5 linked regions of the Xenopus tropicalis genome follow. The protein of the gene in region 4 purifies or fractionates together with the protein of the main gene of each other region. This does not show direct contact. Links are inferred from orthologs where the notes say so. Each region holds a gene or a part of one and is shown on either strand. Other genes may lie near its edges.

Region 1 (4,147 bases), on a different chromosome or scaffold from region 4:
GTAGGAGGCAGACAGAGGGACAGGTAGGAGGCAGACAGAGGGACAGGTAGGAGGCAGACAGAGGGACAGGTAGGAGGCAGACAGAGGGACAGGTAGGAGGCAGACAGTAATTAGAGACAAGCTTGCGGACGTTGCAACATGTACACTTTGTACCCAAACGTCACGAGCCAAAAGTGAGATTTAAGTAGCGGCTCGAGGGGGACTTGTCCAGCCCTAACAACCTGCACTGAAACCTCTCAGCCCGACTTCCCCTCCAACATCACAAGCCGGCCATTTAACCCCATTCATGCACAGTCAAGCTGAGCTGATAACTAAGGCCGATACCCTCTCCCCGGAGAGCTCACTCCATGCATCTACTACCTCTATGTTAGAAACAACATGAAACCCGAGTATGTATAATGTATTCTCCTTATACCTGCCAGGCCCTGCAAGCAGTTTATTCATTAGTAATCAATCTGCTCCCCACAGCTTGAACTACAGCTCCCAGCAACCCCTAACAGCCTTAGCCTACATCCTCTCCCACAGCTCAGCAGCAGCAATGCCATAAAGGTGTATCAGCCTGCCACTGGGAGTAATTATTATACCCAGGTACTTACATCTAAAGAGGTAGTTCACCTTTGAGTTAACTTTTAGTATGAGATAGAGAGTAATATTCTGAGATAATTTGCAGTTTGTCATTATTTTTTGTAGTTCTGTAATTATTTCACTTTTTGTTCAGCAGCTCTCCAGATTGGAATTTCAGCAGCTATCTGGTTGCTAGGGTCCAAATTACCTTAGCAACCAGCAGGATTGGACTGGGCCGACGGGACACCAGGAAAAAACCTGGTGGGCCGCAGGGAGGCAGCCGGCGGGAGTCCCTACTGGGGGTGTGGGGGCCCCTGGTGACCAGGCATTGGTTTCAATGAGAGACTGATATTTCTAAACAGAAAGAAAAGTAATTAAAAGTAACAATACCAATAAAATTGTAGCCTCACAGAGCCATAGTTTTTGTTGCGGGGGTCGGTGACCCCTGTTTGAAAGCTGGAAAGAGGCAGGAGAAGGGGAATAATTTAAAAATGATAAAAATAAATAATGAAGACCAATTGAAAAGTTGCTTAGAATTGGCCATACTGAAAAGCTAACCTCCCCTTTAATGTTACACTGATGGCTTTATGCCCCACTAAATGCATAGTGCACACTCTCACTCAGACTCACACTCTCACTCAGACTCACACTCACACTCAGACTCACACTCTCACTCACACTCTCACTCAGACTCACACATATGACTGACTGTGACATAAAAGAGGAGCTTTCAGTAACCCGAAGCCTTTGCGCAACACAATCCTTGGGGTTTTTTTTTTTTGTTAAAGCGACAGGCTGTCTAGACACCCACGTGATGGGCCGCGCCATTGCGCACAGGAGACTGACAGAGCCGAGAGAGCCGGGGAGAGAGAGAGACAGGCACAGACAGGGGAGGGGGAAGTGAGAGACAGTCAGGGAGAGAGGAGGGGCACTGACAGCAATGAGCAGGGTGAAGTCCCTTGGTAACTGGGTGCTGTGAGTGTGAGCTTTGTGGACACAGCACCCCCCCAGTAGAGTGTAGGTGCCCCAGTGAACCCCCATAGCCGGCCCTCGTTAGCGGAGGGATACCAGTCCTCTCCCCGCTGCCCCTCGCCGTGTCTCCGCTGTGCGGCCGGTCCCTCCTCCTCTCCCCCCCCCCTCTCCCCATCGCACATTTCCATAACACAGACGGGGGCGGATCAGCCCTTTGAGAAGGAGGAAAAGACAAGTCCCACTTTATTTTTTTCCCCTCTCTCCTACTGAGCGGCCGGATAAAGGATTTTTCTTGTGGATTAAACAAGCGAGAGGCGCAACCCAGGGCTTCTACTTCTTTACTGGAACCGCATCGCGTACGGATTATCTATAAGGTTCTGCCGCCCTAGTGCCCCTACTCTCTGCCCATTTGCCCCCCATACACAAGGGATATTATCGGCAGACCCGCTCGTTTGTGGATGTACGAGTTGTGGGGGGAGCCCGCTTTCCTACCGGGAGGATTGTGTATAAATGCCCTTTAGATCCCAGGCCAAGCCGGGCAGCGCTCTGTGCTCCATTCAATGCCCCGCTGCTCCCGGCTCGGCTGCCCAGCATTAGCCCGCTGTATGTGTAGCCGGGGCGGCTGCTTGCCGTTTGCAGTATTCCTGTCGCTGCGACTCGGATCCCCCCGCCGCACTTTGCAGGATCTCTTCCCCTAAAAGACTGGCGCATGTTCCAGATCGCTTTGGCTTGTCGGACCCCCAGCTCCCCCCTACCCTCCCGGGCTGCTGCTGCTGGTCTCTGCCCGGCCTCGGATCCAGGATTCTTCATGATTTGCGGGCGTCATGCACGTTGTTTAGCCGGGAAGCCTTGCTCTCGTCCCGCATGTTCAGGACCAAACGATCGGTGCTCGTCCGGCGACTCTGGAGGAGCCGAGCTCCCGGGGAGAGCGGGGAAGGGGAAGGCGGGGAGAGGGTTCATGGAGCCGGGGGTTGCTGCCTGGGCAAATCGGCGAATAAGGTGCCCGGGAAGGCGCTGGGGGGCTCGGAGGCTGCAGAACTGAAAGCCCTCGCCCACTCCGTGCTGAAGAAGCTGAAGGAGAAGCAGCTGGAGGGGCTGCTGCAGGCGGTGGAGTGTAAAGGGGGAGCCCGCAGCCCCTGCCTGTTGCTGCCGGCGGCCAAGCTGGACTCCAGGCTGGGGCAGCAGCCCTTCTCCCTGCCGCTGCTGCTCTGCAAGGTCTTCAGGTGGCCGGACCTCAGGCACTCGTCCGAGGTCAAACGACTTAGTTGCTGCGATTCCTATGGCAAGAACAACCCGGAGCTGGTCTGCTGCAACCCGCACCATCTCAGCAGGCTGTGCGAACTAGGTAGGTGCCCCCTGTACCCAGACTGGCACTCACACACAGGGCAGGGTGGGTTTGCTCTGACTGCCATCCAGACTGGCACATACACATGGCACGGTGGGTTTGCTCTGACTGCCATCCTGTCCTGCAGGGACTTTGACACCCAGACTGGCACACACACACATGGCAGGGTGGGTTTGCTCTGACTGCCACCCTGTCCTGCAGGGACTTTGACACCCAGACTGGCACACACACATGGCAGGGTGGATTTGCTCTGACTGCCACCCTGTCCTGCAGGGACATTGGCACCCACTGGGCACAGCTGGTGTGTGTAGTTGGCATCAGAGGGTCAGTCTGGCATTAGTATTTCAATGCAGCCACAGGCTTGGGGGTTCAATATTGTGATGGGTAATGGGGATACTGATTTACTGCCATTTGGCACAGTTATAATGGGGTATATGACTGGGCATATTTATCTCAGGGCACAACTATTCTTTTTCCATATTTATCCTTGGGTATAGCGGGAATGGCAAAGGGGGCATGGCTCTGGGTTTCATGGGTACAGCACATTGGATACATTGGTCGCTGTGGCTAATAGCAGGGCAGAGTAACTTGCCCCTTGGTATAACTGACAGTGTGGCTTGGGGATAGTGGGCACGGTGGGTGCTGTGGGGGTACAGTCTGCTGTGTAAGCTGGGAGGTGTCATTGTCACTATGTCATTCCGTTGTACTGTGTGAAAGGAATGGGGGGGGTCACACGGATTGTGGGGGTGCCTTGTGTCACTTTGCCAGGAAACCTTCATATACAAGATACACCCCATTATCATCCAGTCTCCAGTCCTATAGCAGGTCTGCTGGGCTAATATCAGTGGCAATAAAGGGGGGGGGGGGCTTATGTATTTCTGGGGGGGGGGTCTCGGCTCATGTCATTATTAGGTATTATTCCCTATGACAGTAGTGACAGTGCCAGGGGGCTGAGTAGTTACTACTGACATCTCATTCATCCCCCCATCAATGGATCGGGGCTGTCCCTCCCTTTATTGCACTTATACCCTAGTAATATATTGTTTTTCCCTTCATTTACCTTTTAAGCTTATTTCTGTTCTGCTTAATGTGTTTATTAATCATGCCCTCCCCCCTGTTTCCTATTTACCAGCCTACTTTTATTATTACACCCCTATTAAAGTTGGGGTGTAAAGCGTAAACCCCCTCTTTTTGCTTCAATGCCCCTTTCTCCGGCGGCAGTTTCAGCGCACTTTTATATACGGCTGTGCGTATAATGCGCGAATA
Region 2 (3,068 bases), on a different chromosome or scaffold from region 4:
GTAGGCAGTGGCTATTAAAGCAAATAAAGTGCTATCTTGCATAAGAAAGTGCATTAACTTGAGGGAAAACATAATTTTGCCTCTTTATAGGTCCCTGGTGTTATGGGTAAGTCCTAATGTAGCACCGTGTGGTTTCTCTGCAGTGCAAGACCTTGAGATGGAGACTGGAGGAGGGAATGGTGTTTACTGAATACGAGCAAATTCCAAAGAGAAAGCCAGAGGGTGTTTTTACTACTGCAGTGTTGCCAGAAAATCTAGAACGCAACCGTATCTGCGAGGATATTCCTTACGAAGAGAATAGAGTCGAGCTTGTCCCAACCAAAGAAAACCCCACGGGTTACATCAACGCTTCCCATATAAAGGTAATAATAACGAGCTCCTAATTACAGCCGCTGTTACAGATTCAGGTTGCACTGCACAAATTGTTATGTTATGATTCTGCTGAAAGGGCCCAATGTCAATGATTCTACAGAACAATCTATAGAAAATAGAGGATGGCATGGCAGTGTGCCACCCTAATATTATAGACCTCATTCATCAATGGAATGCTAATGGAAACCCACAATGGACAGCTAGTAGACAGGCACAGGTCCTTATGACTTGAGGGACCCAGCATCAACCCGAAGCCCAACCAGAATCCATTCACTCGCCAACAGTTTTCACTGGGAGTAATTTTGGGCTCAGTAAAGGTATTACATGTCATTTGGTAGCTTATTATGTTTCTGCCTTTGACGGATCTGACTCTTCCATTCCAGGTCACTGTGAGTGGGAAAGACTGGCATTACATAGCTACCCAAGGCCCGCTGCCCCACACCTTTCACGACTTCTGGCAGATGGTGTGGGAGCAGGGGGTGAATGTCATTGCCATGGTCAACGCTGATGAGGTAGGTTTCCATAATAGCAGGGCTGTGTGGGTCAAGCTTGACTTCCCATGTTTAATAGACCATGCATCATGCTAAATCTTTGATAAAGAGGGGATGTCAGATTGGCAGGAGAGCTTTGGGAAAAAATAAGGAGGATTAAGGAAAGGAAACAGAGATTAGAATGGCATTTTATTGTAAGCTTGGCCATGGGCACCTTTACAGAATCTGGGAAATCAGGAATGTAATGATGTATCTGTTTATCTTTCTTCTCCTGTTAATATAAATGATGGCACTTATGTCCAGTAGAACAAAGTCTGTTCCATCACAAAAGAACAAAAAGAAATTGAGAAACGATTTGGCATAAACTATTCAGGGGTAAAGACCGGAATAAAGTTGATATATTTTAAAGGGATACTAATCATATTTAAAAAACTATTGGTATGTCAGTGGTGTAAAATACCTGGCTCGGCTCTTAGGGGGTCAGGTTGCTGCTAATCTACATAGAGGAGAGATGGTAGAATCCTCAGTCTGATGTACTGAGTCGGACCATGAAGTTCAGGTAGATGTACCACCTAAAAGTAAGCTTTTTGTAGAAGACATACATTCTCCTGGGATTGAACTGACATACTAGGTCATTTGTTTTTCAGATAGGGTCAGTATCCCTTTAAAGGGCCTGCGAAACCTAAATATAAATTTTTTTTTCATGTTATTTGTAAATGGAATTCTTATTTGGATCAGTATATAAGTATTTTGCTATTTTTCTGCACTGTTGGTCCTACCTCTGTGTAGCACTGAAACAGTCAGTTCCCACAATGCTGCCTTCTGTGATGAACGGAATGGTAGCCGGCTGCTGTGTAGTTTTTCTGTGTAGTTTTCTATGGCCAGCAGCCCACAGGCCACTCAACACAACCTATGTATACGTGCGGACCTGCTCTTCAGGGCCAAAGAGTATGCATGGCACACATCCGTAGGGTGAGCATCGAATCAAAAACCCTTCACCACCAGTTAGTGCATTGAGCAGTCATCTCTGGCAAAGGCAATCAAATTCAGGATTTCGGTTCCCCTTTAAGCGCTGGTTGATGTGAAAAACAAGTGCAGTAACCATTGTTATTCTGTCGCAAGGATTTGCCTTCCACAAGCTCTGCCAAAAACAACAGGCATCATTCCATGCAAGCCAAAAGCACCATGTTTCATTGTGTCCTTTGTGCAGTGATCCCATGTTCCCTCCACGTCCCAACCAGCCTCGCATTCCAGCATCCTTATCGGGTGTGACGGCACCAGCGCTTGTTATTCTTCTGCAACTTTCCTTTCTTATATAATGTTTCATCCTGTGCCAAGTGCAACAGGCCATTGTTTCCCCCAGCTCTGGGCCCGCTGTGTTCAGCAGGGAAACACAATATCAGTCACTTGAGCTCTGCTTAGTGTCAGTATGGGAGCTCCCGCTACACACACACCGACTTATTGGCCTTATTGGCACTGTGTGTATATTAATGCAGTTAATACCCACAGTTTGCTCTAGGTATGGTAACCTCTAACATCCAATCAAATGCTTGCATTTATAAATAGTCCAGCAAATGCTGCTTGCCAATGGGTCGCTCTGGGATACTAGAACTGGAGCAAACCTTGCACTTGGGGAACGTCACCCAAACACAAGTGAAGCTTTTTGAGAAGTAAACATCATTTCAAGCAACTACATCAGATAAAAAATATGCAGCCTTTTCATGATTTTTAATGTAATAATATGGTTTGTAACAGTTCCCTAAGCCCCGCCCCCTAGTCTCCTGTGGATCTGGCTACTTTGAGACTCATAAAAATGTAACAGTAGTCGCCTGCCTTCAGCCTGCCTTCAGCTTGCCTCCTCCCAATCCCACAATTCTCTACACACATGATGTCAATAAGCAAAGGAACATCACAGAGCAATGCATTGTGGGTTATGTAGTTCCTGCATGCTGTCTGTAAGCTGTGGGGAAGTTGTTACAATTTGTAACATCAGTTTTAGTCCCTCCTCCCCTGCCAGGATTTCAAATGATACAGAAAGAGAAGAACTGTTTTGCAGCTGGATTTCAGCATATAAAAATGGTATTTATTCCTACTTTTTTAAGGAACAGATTACAGTGATGGGTATACTAGGGGTTTCTGTGTTGTGTGGGGCTCTGTAACAAATGTTGGTTCTGGAGCTGGAGTTCACCTTTAGGCTAAACAGAG
Region 3 (4,212 bases), on a different chromosome or scaffold from region 4:
CTGTTAGTAGAATGAACAATACTGTAGATAAAAAGACCCTCAGAGAAAAACAAGATCATTTCACAGTATCTGTACTGCATGGAGTATTTTACTGACAATGGCAGTTCCAATAGTACTTATTACTTTGCGGTTGATTTGCTATCACAAAGTCATTGCTCTATGTGTACTCTTACTTTTACTGTTCCTTTGCAAATAAAAAAAGTAAAGTTATGCACATTAAAGGAACAGTAACATCAAAATTTAAAGTGCTTTAAAGTAATTTGAATGTACTGTTGCCCTGCATCAGTGTTTACTTCAGAAACACTACTATATTTTATATGAATAAGCTGCTGTTTAGCCAAGGGGGCAGCAGCCATGTAAGCTGAAAACACAGCTTCTGTTATCTGCTATGTAACCTTCACCATTCTGCCCTATTTCAATTTGTATAGCTACCCCCATGGCTACAGAGCAGCTTTGTTTATATAAACTATAACAGTGTGTCTAAACAAACACACAGCTGTTACCACTGCAGGACAACAAAGTATTTTAATTACTTTGATATATTTTTGGTGTTACTGTTCCTTTAACTGAAGGCAGCTGTTGCACTTGTACAAGAAATAAGCTGAGCAGACAGTGACATCCCAATTTTGATCATAACAAAGGCAGCAGCCTCTCTCAGACAGCCATTGGACTTCATGGCCTACACCCAAACACAAGTGATATGCCGACCTCAGGGTCAGCTCCCACATGGCTAATGTGTTACTGACAAACCCTAGCTTTCCAACTCATTCAGCTCCCCATGAAAACTAAAAACAGTAGTTTCATATCTACACCTTATGGCCAGAAGTATCAAGAAAACTATAAAAAAAAAAATAAAAAAAAAACACCTTGTCAGTGTTAAAGGGGATTTAAACACAAAAAAAGTGAATTGATGTAAATGTAAGCAGTGGTCATCTGATGACAAGTTCTCGGGTCTCAAAACCGACTTAAAGGATTAACCAAGTTCCTGTGAAAAAGTAAAAAACAAAAAAACTAGTCTATTTTCATCTAAAACGGGTGTCGTTACAAGGAATGAGTTTGGCTATTCTTTAACAGTTCAGCCGTGTACGGTCCTGCACGTGAAAACAAAAAATGGTGGCTTCTCCAGTCAATATTAAATTGAGAAGGCGGGAAAATCATGTCAGACAGGATGATATAGGTCCCCATATCACTGAATGGAGAAAAGATCAGAAAAACGTCATCAGTTAAAACACTGCAGAACTTTTCCCACTGAAGTAATGCAATTTGCCCTTCTTTGAAGATTATGTTGCAAAAATGTGCAACCTACATTTTAGGTAATAGCCTTCCATACATGGTAACAGCCAGTATTTCCTATTCATATCAATAAGCAGAAGTGTAAAGAGGGAAGAGATGGGGTGAGATGCCATGATGTTTTTCTCAAAAAAAAGGGGGGCCTTTTCTATACAGGAGCTTCAAAGAGCTGGCGTATCCTTGTATCGTGTTTGGTGCAGCGCCGCTGTCACAAAGATGGCATCAACTCTGCGTTACTGAAAACACATCTGGGTCAAGCCAGCACTGTGGTTCACATACCAGAAAAAAATAACTTCCTGCTCTGCTTACAGGTTGAAGCAGAAAAAGTTCATTTTCTATAAGGCACAGTATATACCAACACACCACTGCCATAGGGAAGAGATCCAAAATATTTCGCATTTTCACCTTTACACTGGGCGAACAAATACTACTCAGCCAGCTAAAGCTACTAATAAGTCTTTGCTTATGTGATTCAAAGATATAGGCCCGCAGGACACAGTAAAAGAATTGTATAAATGTATGCCCACTGTATATTATACCCCCAGTACACACTAGTGTCTAATAAATATATATATATATATATATATATATATATATATATATATATATATATATATATACACACACACACACACACACTAAGGGAAAGCTCCACAAAATATAAATACAGCACAATAATCAAGCAACCACCTAGTATACAAAACACAGCTTAGACTCCCATTATTGTTATGCCTTTTTATATATACTCATACTCACATTTATATATACTCATACTTTACATATACTCAGAAACCAACTTCTCCATTTTGGCCCATCAGCACCAGTGGATTTCCCAAGGCAGTAACTGCCCAACCTATTATTTCCAGATGAGGCACAACTAGAGCCCTGTGAGATGAATGAGGTGAGAATCCTTGCTGCATTCCCAGCAGGTAACATCACACAGGTTATTATGGGCTGCTTGCTTGTATGCAGTCCCTGGGTAACAATGCAGCTTCACTGGCCCTACATTGTTTGCTTACAGAAATGTTGGTATCCCTGTTCTTTCCCAAGCACGGAGTAGTAGTGACAGATTGGGACACAAAGTAAAGGCGGTAGTGGAACAGCCCCAATGGTACAACCCTGCTTTGTCCCTTAGCGGTGTGGCCTTACCGCCAGCAACTAATCCCTCCTGGGGCTCAAGCCGAGTGAGGGCTGCAAGACTCGCCTGACTGTTCCCCGCCGCCCGAGTAGCCAGCCTGCCATCCCGCCATGCACATCCCAGCTGGCTATACACGTACATACACAGCTCTCCTTACCTGGTATGGGGGAGGCGGCTCCTGGTCCCCGTCGTTCCCGTCCCCATAGCTCGCACGGTCAGACTGCGACTCATGCAGCAGGGAGATATCATCAGAAGTCGGGGACTTGAGGCAATTGCCCATCCTGCCTGGGGGCTTCTTAGCTCTGGCCTCCCCTTCGGCTTTTCACTGGTCACTTCTAAAGGCCTTCCCGCAGGCCTTCACACCTTTAGGACGTTGCCAGCTCACTGCACCCTGACTAAGTACAGTGCAAGCGATATCAATGGCTGCTCACCCTCCGCGAATCGACGAACCCTCCTCCGCCATCACTAAGCACAGCGGTCACAGACGGACCGTGACATCACCGCCAGCCGAGAGACCCCGCCTCCAGTGTTTGTGTCTGGATGGGCGGGGCCAGGGGCGGGGAACACGCTCCTACAAACCCTTGTGAGAACTGAAAGCAGAGCGGAACCGGAAAGAGTTGGGAATAGGAAACGCAGTGTGACATGGGCAAACAAAATCAGTGGCATGGCAGCCAGACAAACTTAAATGGCTTTGTTTTAAAGGGGCCTTCAGTGCATTAGTACAACAAAAAAACGCTAAAATGCGTAAAAAGAACGAGACAGCAAATTCTGATGCCGTCCTGGCCATACTTGAGGAAATAATAGTACGATTTTCATTGTGTACATTGTAGAGACTATCCTAACCGATTTCTGCACAATGAATATCAGTGAGAAGGAGCACTGGAAGGGTTTCAAGTAGGGTGTCAGCAGGAAGCTAAAGCTGGCCATACAGGTGGCGATCTGATGGTCGCACGAAACATCGTCAGATCCGCCACACACCATTCAGGGCTGAATCTGCAGGTAAGGAGGTAGAAACAATAGGATTTCTACCTCCTTCTGCCGATTCAGCTCTGAAGGGAGAATTTGGTCAGGCGCCTTCTATGGTGCCCGATCAAAATTTTCAAACTGGTCCGATCGGCGAGTCGTCCGATATCAGCAGCTTCCTGCGATATCGGTCAACTCACCGACATACCATACGCGCACCGAATATCGTTCGAAACGAGGTTTTGTACGATATTATCGGTGCGTGTATGGCCACCTTTAGGCGGCACTCAGCACAATGGGTGGATATGAATGGAATGGCATGGCTAGGGGCGGATGGGACCCAGGGTTCATTCTGGTAGCCCCTTTGGTCAATTTTTAGTTTGAACGTGTTTGAAATGTTTTTATAGATTTGCAGATAATGAAGTGAAGTTAAAGTACAGTCCTGATTCATAGCATATGCTAATTAGGATTCGGATTTGCTTCGGTATCAACCAAACCCATTTAGGAAGGATTCAGGGGTTCGTCCCTATCTTTAATATTGCACTGCTATTCAAGGAACTCTAAAACTGCAGCAAAACTCGATGTTTAACTGTAAGGACGAATGTAAACTTGAATCTCTGGTAGTAAATTGAAGTTCCATCACCACGATTCACACTAGATCAATTTTTATAAGTCCATATCCAGGGAGATTGGTGACAGTGTCATGGGCCTCAAACTTTTTGATAACAACATGCATGGTGCATACAGTACCGTTAAGTACTTGGCATGGATCAAAAAGCAAACATGCAAATTGTATGCTAACAACATTAACACGTAATTAA
Region 4 (4,188 bases):
AAATGATATAGAAATAACACCTATGGAAAGTTTGAAATAAAGGTGTCCAACTTTTTTACCTATAGAAAACATTTAAATAAAAAGAGTTGGCAGCAACGCAAGCATGAAAAAAGTTCCAAGGGGGTGCCAAATAATGGCATATTTGGCTCTGTGTGGCAGTACACATGGCCTTTGTGCCTCCAAGTAAGAAATTCAAAAATGAACACCTGCTTTGAGGCCACTGGAAGCAATATCAAAGGGATTAGGGGAGCAACATGGTTGGGAAACACTGGTAGCTAAAGTACGATGCACTTGGTCCAAAGTAAATTTCACAAAAGATAAACAAAAGACAACGGCATACCTGGCGGGGAGTGCTTGGACAAAAAAAGGGTAGACTAAGCAGAGAGAATGCAATTAAGGGTGAAGACACAATGACCTACTACCGGTAGTAGCAGCTACTTGTCATGGCTACTAAAATGGACAATGCTGATCATTTACTGATAATTGTCTCTACATGTGTTTTAGCAGAGGCAATTCTCAGTATTGTCTATGGCAGGGGTAGCTGCTACTAAGTAGCTCTGTGTGTCTTCACCCTAAAGGTGCACAGGCGCAAGACAACACTGAGTTGGCAAAAAAGGTGGAGTGGCAGTATACCCCCCTTGCACAGCACAAGCTCAATACACAGGGCTTGTGCTGAACATACTTTGTTTTGGAGTGCAAAGTGACCTTTTGTAGTTTGCTTTACTTTTGCCTCTATTTGGGTAAGAGTCTTTACTTTTGCATCCTTTACTATATTTGCATAAGGGAGTACCCTCTATTAATTGTTGTTTTCTGAACATACTTTTTTTGCCTATTGTTTTAATCATGAAAAATCTCAATATGGACATTACATGGACACTGAGAAGACACCACAGAGGTGGCACATAAATGGATACAGATGGCAAGGAGGGTGAAGCTAAATGTGAGCATTACACATGGAGACAAGAAAGACACCACAGAGGTGGGAAATACATGGATACACTTGGCAAGGAGAGTGAAGCTAAATGTGAGCATTACACATGGAGACAAGGAAGACAAAACAGAGGTGGCACATACATGGATACACTTGGCAAGGAGGGTGAAGCTAAATGTGGGCATTACACATGGAGACAAGAAAGACACCACAGAGGTGGCACATACATGGATACACTTGGCAAGGAGATTGCAGCTAAATGTGAAGAGTGCACAAAGACACAAAGAAGACACCACAGAGGTGGCACATACATGGATACACTTGGCAAGGAGGGTGAAGCTAAATGAGAGCATTACACATAGAGACAAGGAAGACACCACAGAGGTGGCACATACATGGATACACTTGGCAAGGAGAGTGAAGCTAAATGTGGGCATTACACATAGAGACAAGGAAGACACCAGAGGTGGCACATACATGGATACACTTGGCAAGGAGAGTGAAGCTAAATGTGGGCAATACACATAGAGACAAGGAAGACACCACAGAGGTGGCACATACATGGATACACTTGGCAAGGAGGGTGAAGCTAAATGAGAGCATTACACATAGAGACAAGGAAGACACCACAGAGGTGGCACATACATGGATACACTTGGCAAGGAGGGTGAAGCTAAATGTGAAGAGTGCACAAAGACAAAAGGAAGACACCACAGAGGTGGCACATACATGGATACACTTGGCAAGGAGGGTGAAGCTAAATGTGGGCATTACACATGGAGACAAGGAAGACACCACAGAGGTGGCACATACATGGATACACTTGGCAAGGAGGGTGAAGCTAAATGTGAAGAGTGCACAAAGACACAAGGAAGACACCACAGAGGTGGCACATACATGGATACACTTGGCAAGGAGGGTGAAGCTAAATGTGGGCATTACACATGGAGACAAGGAAGACACCACAGAGGTGGCACATACATGGATACACTTGGCAAGGAGGGTGAAGCTAAATGTGGGCATTACACATGGAGACAAGGAAGACACCACAGAGGTGGCACATACATGGATACACTTGGCAAGGAGGGTGAAGCTAAATGTGAAGAGTGCACAAAGACACAAGGAAGACACCACAGAGGTGGCACATACATGGATACACTTGGCAAGGAGAGTGAAGCTAAATGTGAGCATTACACATGGAGACAAGGAAGACACAACAGAGGTGGGAAATACATGGATACACTTGGCAAGGAGAGTGAAGCTAAATGTGAGCATTACACATGGAGACAAGGAAGACACAAAAGAAGTAGCACATACATGGATACACTTGGCAAGGAGGCTGCTGCTATACACTATACATGGATATGGGCAGATTTGGCAGCGGCACTAGGAGGGTACAGGGTTCAAGTCATATGATGAATGAAGTCAGGCTAGCATTAGCCCACCTGTGACACAATAACCAGAAGCCCCTGATGAAAGGAAACAGCTAGCGAGATATCCGGTGGCCCTTAAGGCCATAGAGATGTGAGCGAGTACTGAGACCGGAGAATAGCGGATCGCAACAAACCACGACAATGAAAGGCTTGAGAGAAAAACGCAAAGCGGGGAATGGGATCACCGACAGCAGCGCAAAGCACTAGTGGTATTGCCCGTAGCTAATGCCAGGCGGAGACAAGGAATAGTAGCCTAGGGGCAAGGAGCAGAACAAGCAGTGTGTGGCACCGACATGCCCTCATACACTGCTGCGGGAAACCTATCGACTTCACCAACCAGCTGACACAGCTGCCAACATACCGGGGCGGATGTCCCGTCCTCGGCCTCCCCTCCCCTCCCCGGGCCGCCTCTTCCTCCTTCCGAGCTCCCGTCCGATTCACACGCTGCCAGCTCCGGGCACCACTGCGGCCGTCTCACAGAGCTTCCCCGGACTCCGCCCCCTCGCGTCATCAAACTCCCGCCCAGGAAACGTCACGTGTCTCCCACCTACCAGCAATAACACGGGGCGTGGCCATGTCGTGACAGGATTGGGACAAGCTTTGCGTGACGTCACCTATATAATTCTCTGGCTAAACCCGCATTAATCTGTATGAGTTTAGTTTGATGCTCCTCTTTAGACTAGGCCAGGAGGGACATGTTAAAGTTGTTGTTAAAGTTTAAATCAACTTTTTGTGTTTCAGGCAGCATTAGTTTATGGCTTTTTACTGCTCCAAGTGTATCAGCAGGGACACTTTCAGGGTTGCTATTCTACCAGTGGTAAAACACATGCTAAAGCTGGGACCAGTATAACAGTGCCATTGCGTGTCATTGCACTGATCCACCCTAATTGTTCATCCCTTTTCAGACCAGAAGCTGCCCTCTGCCCAACATGCCAATTCTCTTCTGCTCATATTATCACCCTGGGCCTTTACAGCATCACCCCACCCCCCTTGTCACCCCAGCCCAGCAGGTTAAATCATTTTTAAAAGTTGCAAACCCTATGCACTTGCCATTAGAAGCAGTAAGGGTAAAGACTCCAGCACCCCACTTGGCACTGGCACTTAGGGTGAAGACACATGGAGCTACTAGTAGCAGCTACTTGTCACAGCTGCAAAAATAGACAATGCTGATCATTTACTGATAACTGTCTCTACATGTGTTTTAGCAGAGGCAATTCTCAGTATTGTCTGTGGCAGGGGATTTTCTGGCGTTTAGTAGCTGTGACAAGTAGCTGCTACTAAGTAGCTCTGTGTGTCTTCACCCTAACAGGTAGTAGTCAAAACACACCATGTTGTCTGTACTAAGATCTAAATAAGTCTTGGCATTACAAATAAACTGAGGCTGAGACAGTCCTCTAACAACCTCAAATAAAGCACCGGTCTATGCAATTCACAGCAGTCACTACGGGTTTTGCCAGAATATTTGCCATTCCAGCACTACCCCAAGTGCCATTAGCCTTAAAGTGATACTGGCGCTAAGGGCTGTGACAGACGGGAAGATTAGTCGCCGCGTGACAAATCTCCCTTGTTGCGGGCGACTAATCACCCCGATATGCCATCCCACCGGCTTGAATGTAAATCGCCAGTGGTATGGCATATGCGGCGACGCGATTTCCCGAAATCGCACAAGTTTCCTCTCAAGGCAACTTCCGCAGTTTTCGGAAATCGCAACGCCGCATATGCCATACCACTGGCGATTTACATTCAAGCCTGTATGATGGCATATCAGAGAGATTAGTCGCCCGCAACAAGGGAGATTTGTCACGGGCAACTAATCTCCCCGTC
Region 5 (3,988 bases), on a different chromosome or scaffold from region 4:
GTCTTCGCCCTTAGGGCTGTGGCACATGTGGAGATTAGTTGCCCATGACAAGGAAGATTTGTCACTGGCGACTAATCTCCCCGTGTGCCACAGCCCCGATATGAGAATGTAAATAGCCGGTGGGATGGCATACGCGGTGCTGCGATTTCCCTAAAATCGCGGAAGGTTCCTCTTAAGGCAATGTATGCCATCCCACCAGCGATTTATATTCTCACCGGTGGGATGTCATATCGGGGCCAAACGATCGAATTATACTGGCGGCAAGGGGCAGTCGGTTCGGGGACCGCATCAACGGGCCAATACGGTCCCTGATCCAACTGAATTTTCTAACCTGGCCGATCGAGATCTGGCCAATTTCAGGCCAGATATCGGTCGGCCAGGCCCCTCGTTTCTGCCCCTAAATGGGCAGATAAGCTGCCGAATCGGTCCAAGGGACCGATATCGGCAGCTACAATCTGCCCGTGTATGGGGACCTTTAGACACTTGGAGCTACTTAGTAGCAGCTACTTGTCACAGCTACAAAACACCAGAAAATACCCTGCCATAGACAATACTGAGAATTGCCTTTGCTAAAATACACAGAGACAATTATCAGTAAATTGACAGCATTGTGTATTTTTGTATCTGCTACAAGTAGCTCCTGTCTTAGCCCTATAGTGAAAAAACACTACTCACTTTGCTCTATTCTAGAAGTGCAAAGAGCTGAGCTTCAGGGTGCAAGGAGAACATATTTCTCACTTTCTATATATTTGCTGATATTCATTGTTTTCCACATACATTCTCATCTGCTTTTTTGTATTTAGTTTTTTTGGTTCTGTATCATCCATCGCTAACAAATACATATTAAGAAATGAAAGTAAAAGGGCAGGAGACTCCATGTACCGGTCCAATAGAATGTACAGCACCCCATACAGCCATTGTTGTAGTTCAACAGCAGCTAGTGTGCCACAAGGTGAGCATCTCTGCCCTGGGGTGAAATGATGGAAACCCCAAGCATCTAGTTATAATAAGTAAATGACCCAGCGATTATCTGCTCAGCACCAAATAAAAGCACTGCTTTAAAAAAATGTATTTGGTAAAAAGTGTGGGACGTTTGTGAAGGTAATAGGGCAATTTTAAGAATTGGGAAAGGACTGTGGCTCCTTTAAGAGTTAAGAAACTTGAGATTTGTTTGCGCAACAGTCAGTGCAGCGGAGCCGCCAAAGTGTCTAGACTGCCATGTGACAGGGAACAGCCAATGGGAATGCTTTCAGTGGGCCCGAGTGAGTGAGAGAGGGTGAGCACAAAGAGCAGGGATCAGTGTGTGCAGGGACCGGAGCAACAGAGTGAAGCGCCTACTGCTATCGGGGAAGCTGAGAGGAACCCAGGGGACCGGAGCGGGGAGCCTACTAGGAAGTGTGCGCAGTGCAAGCCGATAGAGAAAGGAAGCCTGTGCGGGACGGTAGCAGCAATGTGCAGTGTGTGAGAGCGCCACAAGCCCGGCTGCAGTAGGCTGCAATCCCCGGGAGTGTAAGGGCTAGAGCCGTGCAAATACCCCGCAGCCCCGCTCTATCCAGCGTTCAGCATCCTTCTCCGGAGCATCCCGCTGCGCCCAGTCTCCGTGCCCCTGCTGGATGCCCTGTGCCGTGAGTACCGCCATGTGACAGCCGTGGGGGTTCCGTCTGGAGAAGCAGCCTTCCGAGATGTGACCCGGGAGGGGGACACCCCAATACGTGCCCAGCCGACTGACTCTCTATCCGTGCGGGCACCGGAGAGACTGGCACAGGAGAGAGCGCTCTTCCCCCATGCCGACCCTTCTAGTTGGCCCCGGGCACTGAGGCACCGGAGAGCCGGGCGCACCCTCGGGGGCGCGCCGCATGTTCAGGTCCAGACGCACCGGGCTGGTTCGGCGCCTGTGGAGGAGCCGGGCGGGCGGGGATGGAGGTGTCTCTTGCTGCGGTCTGTCGGAGCAGCCCTCTGGCTCCCCGGAGCTCCGCGCCGCTGCTTCTGCGATCCTGAAGCGACTGAAAGAGCAAGCCCTGTGCGCCCTGCTGGAGGCCGTGGAGTCCCGGGGTGCAGCGCCCGGAGGGTGTGTGTGTGTGACCCGACACGGGCCCCCCCCTCACCTGCTCTTGTGCAGACTCTTCCGCTGGCCAGAGCTGCAGCATCCCGGGCAACTGAAAGCCTTGTGTGGGTGCCAGGGAGCCGGGGGCTCGGAGAATAACAGTGTGTGCTGCAACCCCTACCATTACAGCAGGGTGTGCGGACCGGGTGAGTGCCAATGCATCCTTCCTAACAGCCCCTGCTAGGCTAGGGGAGAGCCTGGAGCATCCCTTGTGCAGATTATGTCTCTATCACTATTGCACAGTGTCCAGCAAATTCCTGTGAGTGATGTCTGTCCCATGGCCCCTCAGGTTGTTTTAATACAACAGGTAGAAGCCAGGATGCTGGGAGTTGTAGTTCAGCTTCTATAATCTCAGGCTAAGGGCACAGACAGGACATCCCTAATAAACACAGTCTGCTTCCCTCATGTTAGTGCACCCGCTTTGGTTTATTGCCCGGGGTGCCTTCATCTTTATCTCTGGCCCTGCCAATAGCTGGAGGCTGTCTACATATTATCATTATTGTTACACTTCTTTAATAGGTAAGAGGTTGCAGGAAATGTAGCACTAATTACATATTACTCTAGTTCCTCTCTTCCAGGAATGTACTTTAATGAAGTCATTTGAACTAAAGATCCTATGTCATTAACAGGTGCCTTATTGCTCTTTTGCTATTAGAGATGTTTAGACATTAGGTCTCTCTGGAAATTAATGATCCAAAATTTCCAGCATTTCCAACACTGTCAGCAGCTGGGGGAGGGGGTCTCTGGTTGGATACCCTGATTATAGTGATAGGGCATTTATAGTTTTGTTTGGAGCACTCACTGGCATAACTCTTACATATTAACCAAAATATTATCAGCGTAGTATAGCTGGAGGCAGAATGGTGGTCTGTTAAGGGCCTCATAGGCTGCCTGGTTTTGCTCGAGAACAATTTGCTCCTAACCAATCATACTGGGCTGAAAAATGGGGCACAGATGACAAGATCCACTTGTATGGTAAGCTGTCCAACTTGGATACCTGCATTATGGTCCACATCAGACTGGTTTGTCCCTAGTGGTGTAGCTACTAAGGGAGCTACGGGTGTGACTGATCTGGGGCCTACTACCCTGGTGAGTACTGAGGGGGGACCTGAAACTCTGTGGCCATAGTCCACGGAAGCCAATCTAATGGCATGGGGGAAGGGGGTCCCATGCAGTGGTAGCGCCTTGATGCAAATTTCGACCCATGAGCCCTTGTCTACACCACTGGTTGTTGGTGAATGATTAGATCATAAACAAAATAGGGGCCTAGGCAGACATGACAAGAGTCCATCAAGGGGGCAGGGGAAAGATTCTTGAAATCATCGCCCATTCATTTGAATGGAAATAGCCTGAAAGATGCTGGTGTACTCAACACCATGACATAAAAAAACTCTTGAAATCGCTCAGTATTTGCCAGTGGAAAGCCCTTTGAATGGTGTTGGTAATATGAAGTTGTGCAAAGTTTCATCTTGCAGCAACTTCACGTGACTTCGGATTACCGAATTGATGGCAATGGCTTTCCACTGGCGACTCCTATTGTTGCTGGTGGAAATCCTTTTTGGAGCAGTTTGTCACCCGAGACAGTAGAGATCTATCGCGGGAAACTAACCACTCTATGGATTCTTACCCTTAGGGTGGAGACACACTGAGTTACTTAGTAGCAGCTAATTTTTCAGGGCTACAAAATGCCAGAAAATACCCTGCCATAGACAATACTGAGAATTGTCTCTGGTAAATCACACGTAGAGACAATTATCAGTAGCCATGACAAGTAGCTGCTGCTACTAGTAGTTTTGTGTGTCTTCACCCTTATAGGACAAGTAACACCAAAAAATAAAAGGGTTTTGTAGGCATTTAAATGTATATGTACTTTGCATTGGTAAA

Evidence for each region.
Region 1: the proteins of wwp1 (region 4) and smad7 purify together in Homo sapiens (affinity purification with western blotting; 3 studies listed by BioGRID, with this or other methods). This does not show direct contact. The link is inferred for Xenopus tropicalis from reciprocal best matches to the Homo sapiens genes WWP1 and SMAD7.
Region 2: the proteins of wwp1 (region 4) and ptpn14 purify together in Homo sapiens (affinity purification with mass spectrometry; 3 studies listed by BioGRID). This does not show direct contact. The link is inferred for Xenopus tropicalis from reciprocal best matches to the Homo sapiens genes WWP1 and PTPN14.
Region 3: the proteins of wwp1 (region 4) and rnf11 purify together in Homo sapiens (affinity purification with mass spectrometry; 3 studies listed by BioGRID, with this or other methods). This does not show direct contact. The link is inferred for Xenopus tropicalis from reciprocal best matches to the Homo sapiens genes WWP1 and RNF11.
Region 5: the proteins of wwp1 (region 4) and smad6 purify together in Homo sapiens (affinity purification with western blotting; 3 studies listed by BioGRID, with this or other methods). This does not show direct contact. The link is inferred for Xenopus tropicalis from reciprocal best matches to the Homo sapiens genes WWP1 and SMAD6.

What each region holds. Positions count from the first base shown.
Region 1 is NC_030677.2:205,594,065-205,598,211, reverse strand, and holds the start of smad7 (mothers against decapentaplegic homolog 7), read left to right. Parts: upstream 1-1,337; 5' UTR 1,338-2,400; coding exon 2,401-2,881; intron 2,882-4,147. UniProt on the Homo sapiens protein: Antagonist of signaling by TGF-beta (transforming growth factor) type 1 receptor superfamily members; has been shown to inhibit TGF-beta (Transforming growth factor) and activin signaling by associating with their receptors thus preventing SMAD2 access.
Region 2 is NC_030681.2:13,586,713-13,589,780, forward strand, and holds part of ptpn14 (tyrosine-protein phosphatase non-receptor type 14), read left to right. Parts: intron 1-143; coding exon 144-362; intron 363-755; coding exon 756-884; intron 885-3,068. UniProt on the Homo sapiens protein: Protein tyrosine phosphatase which may play a role in the regulation of lymphangiogenesis, cell-cell adhesion, cell-matrix adhesion, cell migration, cell growth and also regulates TGF-beta gene expression, thereby modulating epithelial-mesenchymal transition.
Region 3 is NC_030680.2:96,171,007-96,175,218, reverse strand, and holds the start of rnf11 (RING finger protein 11), read right to left. Parts: upstream 2,804-4,212; 5' UTR 2,709-2,803; coding exon 2,586-2,708; intron 1-2,585. UniProt on the Homo sapiens protein: Essential component of a ubiquitin-editing protein complex, comprising also TNFAIP3, ITCH and TAX1BP1, that ensures the transient nature of inflammatory signaling pathways. Promotes the association of TNFAIP3 to RIPK1 after TNF stimulation.
Region 4 is NC_030682.2:125,462,732-125,466,919, reverse strand, and holds the start of wwp1 (NEDD4-like E3 ubiquitin-protein ligase WWP1), read right to left. Parts: upstream 2,806-4,188; 5' UTR 2,726-2,805; intron 1-2,725. UniProt on the Homo sapiens protein: E3 ubiquitin-protein ligase which accepts ubiquitin from an E2 ubiquitin-conjugating enzyme in the form of a thioester and then directly transfers the ubiquitin to targeted substrates.
Region 5 is NC_030679.2:117,262,010-117,265,997, forward strand, and holds the start of smad6 (mothers against decapentaplegic homolog 6), read left to right. Parts: upstream 1-1,188; 5' UTR 1,189-1,856; coding exon 1,857-2,250; intron 2,251-3,988. UniProt on the Homo sapiens protein: Transforming growth factor-beta superfamily receptors signaling occurs through the Smad family of intracellular mediators. SMAD6 is an inhibitory Smad (i-Smad) that negatively regulates signaling downstream of type I transforming growth factor-beta.